Sus scrofa: one gene and its partners. The protein of the gene in region 2 interacts with the protein of the main gene of each other region in a pairwise test. Links are inferred from orthologs where the notes say so. Each region holds a gene or a part of one and is shown on either strand. Other genes may lie near its edges.

Evidence for each region. The genes of interacting proteins can lie anywhere in the genome.
Region 1: the proteins of IFT20 (region 2) and WASHC3 interact in binary tests that used the Homo sapiens proteins (3 or more experiments, as listed by UniProt). The two-hybrid records come from large-scale screens. The link is inferred for Sus scrofa from reciprocal best matches to the Homo sapiens genes IFT20 and WASHC3.
Region 3: the proteins of IFT20 (region 2) and EXOC7 interact in binary tests that used the Homo sapiens proteins (3 or more experiments, as listed by UniProt). The two-hybrid records come from large-scale screens. The link is inferred for Sus scrofa from reciprocal best matches to the Homo sapiens genes IFT20 and EXOC7.
Region 4: the proteins of IFT20 (region 2) and NUP54 interact in binary tests that used the Homo sapiens proteins (3 or more experiments, as listed by UniProt). The two-hybrid records come from large-scale screens. The link is inferred for Sus scrofa from reciprocal best matches to the Homo sapiens genes IFT20 and NUP54.

The regions. Positions count from the first base shown.
Region 1 is NC_010447.5:82,154,062-82,158,072, reverse strand, and holds the start of WASHC3 (WASH complex subunit 3), read right to left. Parts: upstream 2,801-4,011; 5' UTR 2,695-2,800; coding exon 2,644-2,694; intron 2,333-2,643; exon of another isoform or gene 2,221-2,332; intron 2,080-2,220; coding exon 1,981-2,079; intron 1-1,980. UniProt on the Homo sapiens protein: Acts as a component of the WASH core complex that functions as a nucleation-promoting factor (NPF) at the surface of endosomes, where it recruits and activates the Arp2/3 complex to induce actin polymerization, playing a key role in the fission of tubules that serve as transport intermediates during endosome sorting.
Region 2 is NC_010454.4:44,613,884-44,618,051, forward strand, and holds the start of IFT20 (intraflagellar transport protein 20 homolog), read right to left. Parts: upstream 2,801-4,168; 5' UTR 2,650-2,800; intron 1-2,649. UniProt on the Homo sapiens protein: Part of intraflagellar transport (IFT) particles involved in ciliary process assembly. May play a role in the trafficking of ciliary membrane proteins from the Golgi complex to the cilium.
Region 3 is NC_010454.4:5,330,238-5,334,294, reverse strand, and holds the start of EXOC7 (exocyst complex component 7), read right to left. Parts: upstream 2,801-4,057; 5' UTR 2,703-2,800; coding exon 2,643-2,702; intron 2,453-2,642; coding exon 2,387-2,452; intron 249-2,386; coding exon 64-248; intron 1-63. UniProt on the Homo sapiens protein: Component of the exocyst complex involved in the docking of exocytic vesicles with fusion sites on the plasma membrane.
Region 4 is NC_010450.4:71,830,372-71,834,440, forward strand, and holds the start of NUP54 (nucleoporin p54), read right to left. Parts: upstream 2,801-4,069; 5' UTR 2,697-2,800; coding exon 2,630-2,696; intron 1,974-2,629; coding exon 1,812-1,973; intron 1-1,811. UniProt on the Homo sapiens protein: Component of the nuclear pore complex, a complex required for the trafficking across the nuclear membrane.

The sequences.
Region 1 (4,011 bases), on a different chromosome or scaffold from region 2:
GCAGAAGTGATTTTGATAACTAGACAAAAGAACAGCTGGAATCTTATACAGACGAAAACAGTTTTCCTGGCTCCATGCAATTTTTATTAATAACATATCTAACAAAAACTATATGCTGATTCCCTACCTTATGTTATATATAAGACATAACGAACTAAATATTGTTTAACTGACTCAGCTGTGATTATCACATTTTCCTCTTTTCTCTTTTTTTTTGGGGGGGTGGGTTTATTTGATTTTCAAAAATTAATAAGATTTTTACAATAGCTTCACAAGCACAAGTTAACAATAATTCAACTGACAAAAATTGGTATTTACTAGTTAACTTCTTGGAAACATTTTTATTGTGTCAATCAAAATGCAACTGGAATGGAGATACATCACATATTGTACAAAAAGTAGGAGAATGGCTAGGACTGGGAAGTCTCTAGGTATTCTCACGGTATTTCATGAAGCAGGCCTTGATTTTTTTTGTTTGTTTGTTTTTTTTTCAGGGATTAAACCCATGCCGCAGCAGCGCCACAAGCCAGACAGTGACAGTACCAGATCCTTAAATTGCTGTGCCCCAAGGGAACTCCAGACCTTGACTTCTTTTTTTTTTTTTTTTGTCTTTGTTGTTGTTGTTGTTGCGATTTCTTGGGCCGCTCCCGCAGCATATGGAGGTTCCCAGGCTAGGGGTTGAATCGGAACTGTAGCCACCGGCCTACGCCAGAGCCACAGCAACGCGGGATCTGAGCCGCGTCTGCAACCTACACCACAGCTCACGGCAACGCCGGATCGTTAACCCACTGAGCAAGGGCAGGGACCGAACCCGCAACCTCATGGTTCCCAGTAGGATTCGTTAACCACTGCGCCACAACGGGAACTCCCAGACCTTGACTTCTTAATGAAATCATTTTAATTTCTGTTTAAATCATCCCTAAAAGCGTATTTAGCTTTAAGTGGTCACTGAACTTTTGGAAAGTAGAATTTGCAAGCATAGAGAAATACCATGATACCAATGGGGGGGTTTTCTTTAACATTAAAGTGTATATGTGTATCCTGTTCCCAATGACAACAATCTTGACTCTTACACCTTTCAGGCAGCAACAATTCCTCTACAAGAACAGTTTCAATTCAAGGATTTGACTGGGGAGGATACTCAGTCAAAGGGTGAACAGTAACTTCAGCACTCAGGTGGTTCATGACAACAAAACGGGGCCCTAGGTTTTGACGCAATCCTCAAGAAGTAAAGAAAACTGAGCAAAAACACCATCTTTTGGTTTCAAAACATTTCCTTGTCCCCTTTCTTCCTTCTTAAACCTAATTTCAACCCATTCTCTTTTTTAGCTTTTTATAAGACAGTCGTCCCTAGATCTGGTACCTAATCTGTAACTGAGCTACTTTATCCTTACTTCATAAGTCATATGCACAAAGTATTTTATTTATTATTTTTTTTTTTTGGCCTCACCTCTGGCATAAAAAAGTTCCAGAGCCAGGGATCAAACATGAGCCACAGCAGTGACAAGGCCTGGTCCTTAACCCACTGCACCACCAGGGAACTCCGTATTTTTACTTTTATTTCCATGATGATATTTGATGCCAAAGTTACATTTCTAGGCTACCTCCTCAATCATCTTTTGGATCAAGCAATGTAAAATAATGTACACCTAAAACGTAAATCTTTGAGGTAGGAGAAACATAACCAATTTCAAAATAAAAAATGTCTTTAACTGTGAAATACAATTATTATCTTCAATTACAGTAAGCCTTAGTGAACTGCTTCACAAAAGTCTCAGAAGTTTAATTCAGCAGAGATGGGCTGCAGGAAGACGGTAATAGAACCAAAGAGGATTTAAGGTATATTAACATAATAATTGGGTGAGAAGAGGTCACGGTATATGAATACACAGACTGTAAATCTTGTTTTAGTCATTTGCTACCTTCAAAAGTGCGAGGTGATATCTGGGCTACACATTAGACCAACACCACTGGACCTACCTCCTCACAAACTGTAGAAAAGCGGTTGAGGAACTGTACAGTGTGCACCACAAATTGGTTTAGAAATGCCACCGTTCTTTTCTGTTGAATAGCTGGCACCTGTGTTGCGTAAAAATAAACATGATCCGTACAGGAGGAAGGTACACCGTGCAATCCCCTCGATATTAATAAAGGGGCGTTTCTCTGTGTGATATGAGTTACTGGAAGTTCTGCCAATAGTCATTAACTTGTTTTCCTAACCTGTGGGGGTGGGGTGTTCAAAGATGACAGATGCTGCAAAGTTTGAGAAAGGGCTCTGGATTCACAAGAGCGAACTTCCGCAGGTATAGGCAACACGTAAACACACGAAAACCTTAAGGGCCGAATAAAAGAGGTAGGGTTAGAAATCGGAACTGGCCCGTGTCGCCAGTGGTTCACCCTTGAGGACAGGGACTCGTGACCTGGGAAGCGAAGCCTGGGAGAGGTACACTACACTGCCCCCGCCCTTCCTTACCTCAGGAGGGACCTCTTTAAAGGGCAAACTATGGGACTCTCCCTCCGGAGAGAGATGAGACAGGCCTAGGACAGCGTTGGGCTTAGAGAGATGTGGTCTCCCTGGGAACCCGGCGTCCCTTCCCCATCCTCCTCCCAGGTCACCTGAGTTCAACTCCATCTTTTACAAACCTTAGTCAGGTCTATGCCTGACCCCATGAGAGGAAGCCCATCCTCATCCATCTCCTCAGCGGGCACGGGACACAGGGTTCACCCACACACCCCTCCCCGACCAGGCCAGCCCAACCCGGTAATAGCTTACGAACACCTCCCCCCAGTCCCCGCCTCCCGGGTTCTTCCCGCCGGAAGGAAACGCCTCCTCTCGCCAATCACTCGGCGGCTTCCGGAGAGCCCACCCCTTCGCAAGGCATTCTGGGATTGGTAGTTTTAGTTCCGGATTGTGACGTCGGACGAAGAGCGCCGAGTCTAGAAAGGGTGAAATTCTCTTCTCGCAAGATTTTAAAAATGGGGCGGGGAAAAGTAAAGCATCCCGACTGTTTGAGGTTATCCCTCTGCTTAGTGTTGTCTCTCGTATAAGGCAGCTGAGGCATTCGTTAATAAAATATATATATAGTTTGTTTTTGTTGTTATTTTTAACATACTAAGTGCCAGATTGGCCCCTGGGCCCTAATTTAATCAGGTTGAGTATATGTATCTATAGAACTATAAAAATATTAACTTATCTAAAATTGGCCAATTAACAGAAATTCTCCAAAGTGGTTTGGTTTCTTAAAAAAAGAAAAGACAAGTATAATTCTGTGAGATATAATTCTAGTTAACGGAAGAGTGGGACTTTCTCATTGCCTCCTAGGATTCTTGATGATACTCTTCATCACTCTTCCATAGCTCCTGAAGGCAGTGCCACTCACAACATAATAACTGAATTTCCAGGGCTGTTAAAAACAATCTATAGCTAGAAGTCTTGGTCATCTTCCTGAAATCCTCTGAAATACCCGTGTCCTTTCTCCAGGCTTTCTCTCATTGGAAATGGATTACCAGATTTCAATTACTGTAGTGCATTTTGGAGACAAAAGAAGTAAATTGTAACGAATACTGATTTAAAAAGGCAGAGTCCATGAATCCCACCTGCATATAACATATCTGTTAAATTAAAAGGTCTTAAAGCATTTTTCAGTAGTTATGTTTTCAGGAGTTCCCATCGTGGTGCAGTGGAAACGAATCTGGAACTAGGAACCATGGGGTTGTGGGTTCGATCCTCGCTCAGTGGCTTAAGGATCCAGTGTTGCTGTGAGCTGTGGTGTAGGTCACAGATGTGCTTTGGGTCTGGTGTTGCTGTGGCTGTGGGTGTAGGCTGGCAGCTGTAGCTCTGATTAGACCCCTAGCCTGGGAACCTCCATATGCCGCAAGTGTGGCCCTAAAAAGCAAAAACAAAAATAATAGTTATATTTTCAGAGCCTGTAACTAGAAAATCACTTATTTAATTTCTTCATGAATTGGTTCTTAGGTGAGGGAAATCATTAGCATTGAGTTCCTATTTTT
Region 2 (4,168 bases):
TCTGGGTAGGAAACACTGATTTCCTTCTAATTCAAAAAGTTTAAGTAAGGGAGGGAAAAACACATCCAACACCGTGTGGTCCAACTTATACGCGTCTGGCTGTACACGACTGTGGTCCAGAGCCTTTAGCCTCACTGGAATCCACTCAAGTAAGTAAGCTAGCATCTTCCCTTTAAAACATTTTAATCATCCAAAGCTTCCTTATAATTGGGCTTTTTAAAAAGCACTGTCACCTTTTTTTTTGTCTTTTTGCCTTTTCTAGGGCCACTCCCGCGGCATATGGAAGTTCCCAGGATAGGGGTCCAATCGGAGCTGTATCTGCTGGCCTACACAAGAGCCATAGCAACGCAGGATCTGAGCCACATCTGCAACCTACACCACAGCTCACAGCAATGCTGGATCCTTAACCCACTGAGCAAGGCCAGGGATCGAACCCTCAACCTCATGGTTCCTAGTCGGATTCGTTAACCACTGCGCCACGACAGGAATTCCATTAGGAACTGTAAACTTATCTTAAATATGTAACAAAAGATGTTAGAATAGGAAGCTCAGTTTTGCTTAGACCACAACACAAGTCAAGGTCTGGTGAAAGGCGCTGAGAGAAGCACATTAAAAAAATAAATAAAAATAAAAAGAACTGTCTCCCCATTTGTCCTAGTTACACATATAGTCTGAACACTAACACCTAACAGGTGATTTACCAGACCAGCTGCTCTAGAAAGCTTCAAGTAATCTGCGCGCACAAAGGTGCTTCCACTTCCACTCCCTTCTAAGAGCGTGGATTTATTCACAAACATCTACTGAGTCCCTGCTCTGGGGATAAAGGAGTGAAGAAAATGCCTTAATTCTTTAGTTTCTGACCTCTGGACAGACGGTCCAATCACAAACTGTGATCATGGTATGAGGAAAAGCACATGTTGCTATGTGAAGCCATAGCAGGAGGACATAATTCATATGTAAACAAAATTACATAAAAATTTATACACAAAATTCTTCTAAAATGTGACATTTGGGAGTTCCTGTTGTGGCTCAGCGGGTTAAGAACCTGACGTTGTCTCTGTGAGGTTGCAGGTTCGACCCCTGGCCTTGCTCAGTGAGTTAAGGATCCCCAGCAATGGGATCACAGATGCAGCCTGGATCCCATGTTGCCATGGCTGCAGGCATAGGCCTCAGCTGCAGCTCGGATTCCACCCCTAGCTCTGGGAACTTCCATATGTCACAGGTGCAGCCATAGAAAGAAAAGAAGTGACACTTAAAATGAGACCTAAAGGATGTTCAAAAGCTTGCCAACTGAAGCAAGGAGGAGGTATTCCAGGCAGAAGGGAAAGCTTGTGTGAAGACTGGAAGACTCTGAGGCTGTAAAAAATTTAACGTGTTCCACAAGCTGAAAGGCTAGTATGGTTGAAACACTGAGCAAGGGGGAGAGAATGAGATGGGGCAAGATGGGGAGGCTAGCACTGGATGATGAAGGGCTCTGAAAGCTGCGGTATTGAGCCTACATTTTCTCATAAAGGTAGCCAGAGGATTCTAAGCAGACTGGCATCATCAAATGTGGCTATTTTGGAGATCAATGACCCAGGATGGAGAACGAGCTGGGGGGGAAAAGAGATGGGGCTACTCCTATTTGTTCATCACTGCTACCCTAGCATCTAGCATAGTGCCTGCATAGAACTTGCACTCAGCAAATGTTTGTGGTATGAATGACTGCTAAAACAGAGCAGGCTAGGAGTTCCCATTGTGGCGCAGCAGAAACCAATCTGACTAGGAACCATGAGGTTGAGGGTTAGATCCCTGGCCCCTCTCATTGGGTTAAGGATCCCACGTGTTGAGGTGAGCTGTGGTGTAGGTGGCAGATCCGATCTGGTGTGGCTGTGGTGTAGGCCGGCAGCTGTAGCTTCGATTCAGCCCCTAGCCTGGGAATCTCCATATGCGGCGAGTGCGGCCCTAAAAAGAGGCAAGAAAAACAAAAACACCAGAGCAGGCTATTACAGTAACCAAGGCTTGGAGCTGAAGGAAAGTGTTCCGAATTGTTTGGTAAAGTCGAGTTGATAGGACTTAGTAAAGGATGAATGAAAGTAGGGGTTTGGAGAGGAGTGAAGGAGAGTCAGGTAAGATTCCCATGCATCTGGCTTGAGCCAGATGTATGGTTGGAAGGGATGGTTGAATGAGATGGATCGGGCCTGAAGAAGTGGAGAGAGAGGGTTCGCAGCCGACTACCGGATTCTCTCCCAACTCCCACCGCACGCTCATCTGAGGAACACTGGGTATAAAGGCCGAATTGAGTTCCCTGAAGATGAGAAGGACGTCGCGCTCTCGTCCCCCCACCATCCCCACCACCACCCTGGCTCTGGCTCTACGCTGGCCGCTACCTCCACCCGCGCGGTGTGGAGAAAGTTAGGAAAAGCTGGGTGATGGGGCTGGTTGTCTTCACTACGTAAACTCCTTGAACTTATCTGAGCCGCAGTTTCCTCCTAGGAGGGTTGCGAGCGTCAGAGCGAAAAGCTCGAGGCCCAAGCCCGGGTAAAACCGCTCCCAGAGTCGGGAGGAATTCCCACATTTCTTTCGCCCTGGGACTGCTTTTCCTCGGGGCGCGGGCCTGTCAGGCTCTTCCTGCCCCGGGCCCATCCCCGACCCGAAGTCACAGCCTACCTGTCCACCCCGCAGCGGCAGCGCCTGCGGCTCAGGCTGAGGTCCGCAGGCAACTCCCCTCTCGCGTCAGGGCAGCCGGTACCCAGCCAGCCAGCTTGCCTCAGCCGCTGCCACGGCTACAAGACCTGTTTACGCCTAACGTCACTTCCGGGCACAGGAAGCACTTACACCCATCCAGCTGGCAGAGCATGCTGGGAGACAGAGGCCTGGGAAGAGGGATGGCTGCCTACAAGACCCAGAGGTCTTTGCGCCGGAAAGTCGGCCTGAAGTAGGTGTACGCTCGCTGCGGAATACTCTTGGGGGCTCCTCCCTCCGCCCTGATTGGGTGCTATGTCTGCCCGGCCTCACAGTCTCAGGCCCTGGCCGCCTGGGGGCGGAGTCCGGGGGTGGTGAATGTGAGTTTACCGCCCGAGATTGCTGGCGGGCAAGCGGTGGTCTAGGGGCGGCGCGGTGTCGACTTGCAACCCAGCTGAGAGGAGAAGCGCCACCAGGGAGGGTGAGAGCCGAGTCTGCCCATGCCCTAGGGGAAGGGATGGACGGGTCCTGGGCTGAGCCAAGAGAACCCTACCCGGTCCTGGGGAAAAGGCGTGGGACGGCGAAGGGAGGTGGAGATCTCAAATCCTTTGGGTGGGTGTTAGAGCCGGTCTCGGTTTCTCGGTGGTGAGGCGGGGTACGGGTTGAGGAAGACTCTACAGTGGCCACAGAGAGGTTGAGTCTCGCTAAATTTCCCCAAACCCTTTGGCTGAAGCATGAGATTTACACGCTTGGATTTACACCCTTGGATTTCTGCTAGATTCCCCCCTCTGTAGGGGATCGGCTCCTCCTCTCGCCATGCTCCGTGTGATGGGTTTCTCGGACCTTCTTTCCTTAGGACCCCACTTCTATCACCGCCTTGTTTGTTTGGCCTTTATTCGGCTTGGGTTCCCATTAGCTTCACCGAGCGTGACACGGATACGCCCCTAGCATCCCCAAATACCCACACACAAAGTCCGGAAGGAAGAGCACTGAGGCTCTCAGTGGAAACTTCATTCTCACTGGAATTACTTTCTGGGGCGTCACCTGCCACAGGATTCCAGGAACCCATTGGCCTGGGCGGAATCTGAGCGGGTGGAATCTGGGCTGATGTCATCCATGGGCTCAAAGCAATTGCTTTGTAGGAAAAAGAAGAGATTAGCTTGGATTTGTCTTCCTCTGTTGGCAGCCGCTGTTAAGGGGTGGATTTATTCCTTTGGGGTGGGCGGAGGAAGGTAAGGTGACCTCATACCATTCAGGTTTACTTACTGATTGGGCAATCCGCTGGTGGGGGCTCATCTCATCCCTACTGAACCAGCCACCAGAGGAATTCGGCATTTCATACAGCACCTGCTCTGGCGCTTCCTTGGACTCTCTTCACAGGGACCTACCTAAATCTTTTCAGGGACAATTTCAGTCTAACACACTGACATATTAAATACTTCAGAATGTGCATAGCATTCTGCTAAGCACATTTCTGGGTTAGACTTAGAGGAGATGATGATGA
Region 3 (4,057 bases), about 39 Mb from region 2:
TTCCAAGGCCTGGGGTGGCTGGCCCGGAGGCGTTAGGCAGGTGACCCTCCGGCCCTGGCTCACCCCTCCCTGATGATCCTCTCAGTGTCACTGGCCACATGGTAGTAGCTAATGACGTGGTCCAGACAGGACAGCGTCTTCTCAACATTCTCCTGCAGCCGCTGCAGGTTCTCCGTCTGTTTGTGCACGGGGATGATGGAATTCTCCAGCTTCATGAGGCGACTCTCAAAGGACGACAGGATAGACACCTGCAGGGGGAGGGCAGCCCCGTGCTCGCAGACCGCCGGGTGGTCCCCAAGCCGCTTCTGCCACCCACCGGGTCTTTGGCATTTGCTGCCTTTTTCTACGGTTTTCTAGACAACCAGGCCCATGAGGGAAGGGACGGGGGACATCTCTTCCCCACTGAATCCCCAGCAGCTACCGCGTGCCCGGCACACAGGAGGTAGCCCACATCAATTAATGTGAAGGCAAGCCAGGCATGAAATTAATTCCTCCGCAGATAATCACTTCAGAATGCTTCTCGTCCACCCTCCGAAGCCAAAGCTCAATTTCTATTCTCTCTGGAGCGTTCTAGACTGAACAGGAAGTAGTTTCATACAGAGTAGCCTCAAATGCATTGCTGGTACCTTCCTAACCCTTTCTAAGGGTGAATCTCATTAAATAAGAACTAGCAGGAGTTCCCGTGATGGCGCAGTGGTTAACGAATCTGACTAGGAACCATGAGGTTGCGGGTTCGGTCCCTGCCTTGCTCAGTGGGTTAAGGATCCGGCGTTGCCATGAGCTGCGGTGTAGGTCGCAGATGAGGCTGGGATCTGGTGTGGCTGTGGCTGTGGCTGTGGGTAGGCCAGCAGCTGCAGCTCCGATTCGACCCCTAGCCTGGGAACCTCCATGTGCCACAGGAGCGGCCCTAGAAAAGACAAAAAGAAAAAAAGAAAGAACTAGCAGTTGCTGACTGTGTTACTAAACAGCCTATGTTTTTCCAGTCTCCTCTAGGAATAAGGAAGAAACTCATACTTATTGACACGTCCCTTTGCACTAGCTTCTGTGACCTTCAGAGCTATGGGAGGCTGGCATCATCTCTGTTTCAGCTGACAAGTTAACTGAGGATCAGAGTTACCTGTCAGCAAGCTATACGCGGACAAGTGGAGGGGCAAGGACTAGATCCCAGATCTGACTTCAGAGCTCATTTTACCCCTCAAGCCCTCTGGAGTGAAAGGTGAGTCAGTAATCTCAGAAGGGGTAACCTGCCACTCCTGGGCATCTATCCAGAGAAAACCATGACTCGAAAAGATACTTGTACTCCAATGTGCACTGCAGCACTATACACAATAACCAAGACATGGAAACAACCTAAATGTCCATGGACAGAGGAGTGGATAACGAAGATGTGGTACATATACACCATGGAATATTACTCAGCCGTTAAAAGGAAAGAAAGAACGGCATTTGCAACAACATGGATGGACCTAGAAATGATCATGCTACGTGAAGTGAGTCAGACAGTGAGACACCCACATCAAATGCTCTCACTTATGTGTGGAATCTAAAAAAAGCACACAATGAACTTCTTTGCAGAACAGATGCTGACTCGCAGACTTGGAAAAACTTACGGTTGCCAAAGGAGACAGGTTGGGGGTGGAGGGATGGGCTGGGGGTTTGGGATGGAAATGCTATAAAATTTGGTTGTGATGATCGTTGTACAACTATAAACGTAATAAAATTCACTGCGTTAAAAAAAAAAAAAAATGGAGTTCCCGTCGTGGCGCAGTGGTTAACGAATCCGACTAAGAACCAGGAGGTTGCGGGTTCGGTCCCTGCCCTTGCTCAGTGGGTTAACGATCCGGCGTTGCCGTGAGCTGTGGTGTAGGTTGCAGACGCGGCTCGGATCCCGCGTTGCTGTGGCTCTGGCGTAGGCCGGTGGCTACAGCTGCGATTGGACCCCTAGCCTGGGAACCTCCATATGCCGCGGGAGCGGCCCAAGAAATAGCAACAATAACAACAACAACAACAAAAACAAAAAGACAAAAGACAAAAAAAAAAAAAAAGAAGTGGTAACCTGGCCATCCTACCCTCACTTGAATTGAGGGTGACACATGGCCAGCATCCAACCCACTTAGGTCAGTCTCACTAAGTGTTTGCAGAGGAGAGAAGGAAGCATGGAGAACTTAGGCAGAGATCAGAAAGTCCAGGCCAGCGGGGACTGCAGCATCTGAGGCCAAGGGGCTGACAAGGGGTAAGAGACGTGCCACACTGCTGCGGGAGAAACCCACGCGTCACGGCTGTCACTACCCAGACCAGAACCCCAGCCCTTAGGTCCAGGCACGACCGGGTCGCAGGGTCTCCTCCAGCGCCTGGAAGCCCCCCCAGCTGAGGAGGGGTTACTCACCATGTTCTTGGTGAGCTGGTCGCTCTTCTCCAGACTGTCTCGGATGAAGGACAGCGTCTCCTCCTCCTGGGGGGAGCGCAAAGGAGGACATCACCAGAAGCCGGAGGCTAAAGGAGCTCACCGCTCCCGTGGTCTCGCCCCCTACTCAGTCTCCTGGCAGGGAGTGTCCCCTTCCCACTCCTGACGCCTCCCTGAGTGGATGCCTGGCCCGGATCTCGGCCCCTTCCCCTCCCCCGCCTCCCAGTGCCAGCCCCACCTGCTTCAGCTTGTCCTCGATCTCCCGCCGCCGGGCGGACGCCTCCTGCGGGGGGATCATGGCTTCGACTCTGCGACTCCCACTGCCCAGTACCTCGTCCCAGCTGACCCTCTCGGCTCCCGTTCCTGTCACACCTACTTCCGCCCGTGGCCCCGCCCCGGGGCGCGCTAGTGGTGCCATATTGGGAGTGGCAGGTGGAAGTGCGCCTGCGTAGAACTCAGTACAGCGGTCTGGAGTGGCCATCTTGAGTGTGGCAGGGAGGTGTGGCCTGGATTCTCCTAGGTGAAGGGATTGCTGTTCTCATCAGAGAAGGTTCTTGGGTGGTGTTTTGTCCTGTCGCTGGCAGAACAGTAACAGCTCACTTGGCCGTCTTCGGGGGAAGGTTTACGCCTTTCACAAAATCAATGACGAACTCCTTTCTCCAGATCGAAGTCTGAATCCAGGCACCAATGTCGCCTTTCCCACAAAACGCAGCACAGAGCTTGTCACACACTAGATACCCAATTGTGCCCATTTAATGAACCAAGGACCTGTGTAGTGTCCCTCTTTGGCCCTAAAAGCTCACGGAACAGGCCCAGTGTGCAAGTAACTAGGTTTTGCAGTGGATCCAGAGCATACGTACCTGCAGTAACCTTGAACCAGTCCCCTACCCTCTCCCAACCCCACCCCCGGCCACGCCCCCAAGCTGTATTTAGAGGAGACCCCGCCAAGGAGTTGAGACATTCCGGCAGCCGCAGGAACCAAGGCTTTCTGATTTCCTCCAAGGCCCGTGAGAAATGCTCCCCGTGTGTCTGAATGCATGCATGCCTCAGTCTCTCCCTAAGGACACCACCACCCTGGGCCCCAAGCCCTTAGACAGGTCTCAGATCTCTCAGGCTTCGCCTTGCACTGTTTGCAGACTTATAGTTCTCTACCCACAGCCTGGTCCTCACCAACCCCGCCAGTAAAACCACACAGCCCTCTCCAAAGCAGACACCCTGGCCGGGCTGGGTGGCTCACAAGTCAGGATTATGGTTTCAGATGCTGTTGGGGCCATGGGTGAGCACTCTGTCCCCGACCCCGAGCCTGGGAACCTCCATATACTGTGGGTGCGGCCCTAAAAAGACCAAAAGAAGAAAAATTAAATAAATAAATAAAAGAATGAAAAGACCAGTTTCGGTGATTCCCAGCCCAATGTCAGGCACATGCTGTTGGCAGTGGACACTGATTTGGTAAAAGCTGTGATTCCCTAACTATACTCAGCACAAGCTGCTTCAGCCAAAGGAGAAAGCGGTGTTTCAGCTGCAGCCTCGGTTGCTTGGCTTTCATTCCCAAACTTGTTCAGAGCACAAATGTGAGGGTCGCCTAGAGGCCCCAACTGCCCAACTCTCAGGGATGCTCTTTCTGGGGGGTGGGGGATAGGGAGGAAGCAAGAG
Region 4 (4,069 bases), on a different chromosome or scaffold from region 2:
ACAAATGTTTGAACCATTAGTGCTCCCTGAGTTATGCCACAGACTTCTGGGATTCTAACCTTTAATCTCATGTATTTCTGGCATAAGAGACAGATTTGTCAATATTGTAACACAAAATATAAGAAGGAAAATGAAGACTCAACCCATTGGTGGTAATCACATAATTCTGTCTTAGAAAATTATTCAAGAATAGACTACATGTTGCATGCAGGCACAACCAAATATTCTACTACTTGTAGGTTCTACTGCAATACTACAAATTGTAAACAATTTGATAAGTACCACCTAACATACTGAACATTGTTCCTAATCTTTTTCATTACTTATAAATTTCATAGAAAAACTAAGATATATTCTGAATTGGCTATGCAATAAAAACATTAGTAACTATCCTAACATACTCCTAATACGAAAAATGTTTATTAGTAATAATGGATCTGCAAGGATAAAAAAAAGTAAACAAGAATGTCTATCAGTCCTATTGCTGAAGACTAAGTTAATGTACATAAAAGTCGTTAAAACACAGTTATATTATCGCAACTCAGAACTGAACAGTAATAACTCCAAATGAACATGAAATCAAGCAAATACCAAAGGTTTATTTATTGTTGAATCAAGAGCTGGGTAGGTTTGTTTGGAAACATAAATTTCAAAACAATGTTTCTCTTTTACCCAGTGCCAATTTTAAGCAAAGAGGGGAAAGTAAACATACCAAACAACAGTGATGTGTGATCATTTTAAATATACCTTAATGATAATGGATTATTTCATCTTTGGAATTTTCAAGTATCCTTCAAAACTTTTTCAAATTGAATGCAAATTGCAAAAAAAAAAAAAAGTGATTGCACAAAATGCCAAATTTCTCAAATAAGTCTCATGGAAAAGACATGTTTACCAAATGCATATAATTGGCATGGGCATACACAGTGGAATGTAAGAGAATATGGACAATAAATTCATATACGAGCAGCTGAGGAACAAGACTTTTTCTATAGGGTCACTGTAGGCGAGGTACACATACCTGTTTTAAATTTATGTATATAAATAAATATACACACACAGAGAATAGTTTGTATTTTGCACAATTTGCAATGAGCTTCAAACAATCCATATAGTTACCAAAATCTTCATAATTAGCTTTTTGAGTGCAAAGATGTCTAGCCTACCTTTTAGAACTCAATGTTATCTGACAAATTAAGATACTCTCTGATCACTTCTCAAAAAATCCACTTAAGACTTGGAGGTTCTTTCAATAATTACATTATCTTATAGAAATGTATCCTCATCTGCTTAGTTGACCAAAAAAATAATTATTGTTACACAGGTTAAAAAACAAGACAGGTTGCTGCTGTTCGTATAAGACTTGTTTCTCTCAGGAAACACAAAGACAATCAAATGAAATTCCAATGAAAGGTGCAGGAAAAGTGGAGAAAAAAACGACCGCAGAAGTCCAAGAATTTCAGGAAAATGGGTCTGACTGTTGATCTTATACTTTAAAAGAGATATCTAATAATTTGGAAGATGTATTCTATTCCCAATAATAACGTACTCCAAATTCTTATCACTTGGAAGGTACAGTCTGTTCAATTAAATGCAAATTTAACAGACGAAGATAATAACTTGAAAGGTTTCTCAAAATCAAATCTTTTTAAGAGTCAAAACTTGATACAAATGTTTTTAAATCGACATTAGGAAACTAATTTCCTTTCCTTATTAGACAAGTCACTGTTCTTTCCCAAACTCTAGCAACTACAAAATATTCTTGGACTCCAGCTCCCAACATTCGTTACACAGACGGCCCGCATATCTACCTGCACTTGCCAGACTGTTACCAAAATTGAAAGGAGTCGCCGAAGTAGTAGAAACACCGAAATTCCCAATATTAAAGTTCACTGCAGGATTAGCAGTTAATCCGAAACCCCCAAAATTAAACCCACTGGCGGTGGAGTTGGCAGTCTCAAGCCCACCAAATCCTGATAGGCGTGTAGGCAAAGAAAATTTTAAAAGGGGAGAGGGGAAAGAAGGAAGAAGAAAAAGAAAAGAAAGCAAGATAAGGATTAGAAGAGTCAGCAGGAGGTTTCACAGAGTGAACAAAGACAAACCCTGACTTGGCTCCAAACGAATTAAGAAAGCGGAGGAGGCGGGGCAGGAGAAGGAGCAGGTACGTGCAGTCCCGCAGCAAGAGCCAGAGGGGCCAGGGCCGAGGGAGCCGCAGAGCAGCCCGGAGGTTCTCCAGCGCTACCCTCGCCGCCCAGCAGCGGGAAGCACCCGAGCGCGCCCGCCGGTCCCGGAGCCCGGGAAGGGGAGGGGATGAGAGGGCGGGCCCGGCAAAGGGAGCGAGGAGCCGCCTCCAGCCTCTTGGAATCCGTCTCCCCGGTGGCGGGAAGCGAGCGCTAGAAGGGGTGGGCCATGCGGGGACCCACCCGATGCACGCGAGCTCCCAGCTGGGCCTCTATCCCCCGCGTGGCCTCCTCAGGAGCCGTCTCGGCCCGCTCGGCCGCCGCCTGCCTTTTCCAAAGCCCCTAAAATCTGCGCGCGGGCAGGAGACCCCAGGTTCCCCCAAGCTCAAGAGTCTCGGACCCAAGGCCTCCCCTTTTCCCCGGGAGAAGGTCTGGGGGGAATGACTCACCCGCGGGGGCTGCGGTGGCTGCAGCGGTACCTGAGCTGCCCGAGGGAGCCGCAAAGTTGAAAGCCATGTCGCGGGAGCAGGGGACCAAGGTGCTGCTGCGGGCCTGCTCCCGCGACACTTGGTGCGCTTGGCTTTTCGATCCGGCAGGGAAACCGCGCCAGGAGTACGGAGTTCCGCCCCTTTCTGACCCAGCCTAAGAGGCCGGAACGTTCGAAAAGCGTAGGGGGCGGAGGATGGAGAGGGAACGCCCCTGGCTGGCTAGCTTCCGGGACCTGGCGGCTCCACGCGGCGTGGGGCGTCACAACCAGCGTGACACGCTGGAAAGCTCACCCCGGCGTGCGGCCCGAGGACTCTTGGAGAAGATGCGCAAAAGGCTGACTACAAGTGTGCAATGAAGGCAGGGTAGCAGAGAAAGCTAAATCCTCGTTCTTCCCAGTGGAGAGTCAGTGGTTATCAAAACTGAAAACTCACGAAACAGCTTGTTTGTCACTTAGAGCCGTGGGGTAGTAGTGGGAAAAAAAAAAAAAAAACAGGCTAAAAGTGCCTCTGAGAATGATATCCAAGTAGCTTTGGGTGTTTCTGTTTCGTTTTGTTTTAGAATTCTTAGTAGAAACTTTGTAGAATTATTTGATTCTTCTATTTATATGCTTGTATAACTTTAATAAAAATAAAAACAAACCATTGTGTCTATCAAAATCATAGTTGTCCTTGGATCTAGCAATGCTGTTTCTAGGAATTGATCTTGTAAATGATTTGGCAAAATTAGTGGCCTGCAAGGTTACCTGTTCCAGCATTTTTTATAACAAATGATTCGAAACAAACCTCAGTTTGCTTAAATAGTTGCATTCATACAAAGGAATACTATTCAGCTATGCAGTGGGAACACTCAAGCTCTTCAGGTACAGAAAAGAAAGATCTTAAAAGTAAATGATACAAACACAATTTAGAGCACAGTACATGGTATTCTACAATTTGGGAAAAAAGGAGGGCCTGAATATATAATTACCCACATTCATATACAATATTCCTGGAAAGATACATTTTAAAAATGAATAGCAGTGGTTGCCTCTGTTTTTGTTTTTTGTCTTTTCTAAGGTGGCACCCGAGGCATATGGAGGTTCCCAGGCTAGGGGTCCAATCGGAGCTATTGCTGCTGGCCTACACCTGAGCCACAGCAACACCAGATCCAAGCCACGTCTGTGACCTACACCACAGCTCACGGCAACTCCGGATCCTTAACTCACTGAGAGAGGCCAGGGATGGAACCCTGCAACCTCATGGTTCCTAGTCGGATTCATTAACCACTGAGCCATGACGGGAACTCCAGCTTTGGTTGCCTCTGAAAAGATGAATTGGGTGGCAAGGAGATGGATGAAGACTCTGCAGTATAAACACCTCTTATAGTTTTTGAAAATGTAAATGGTTTACCTAACAAAAAAA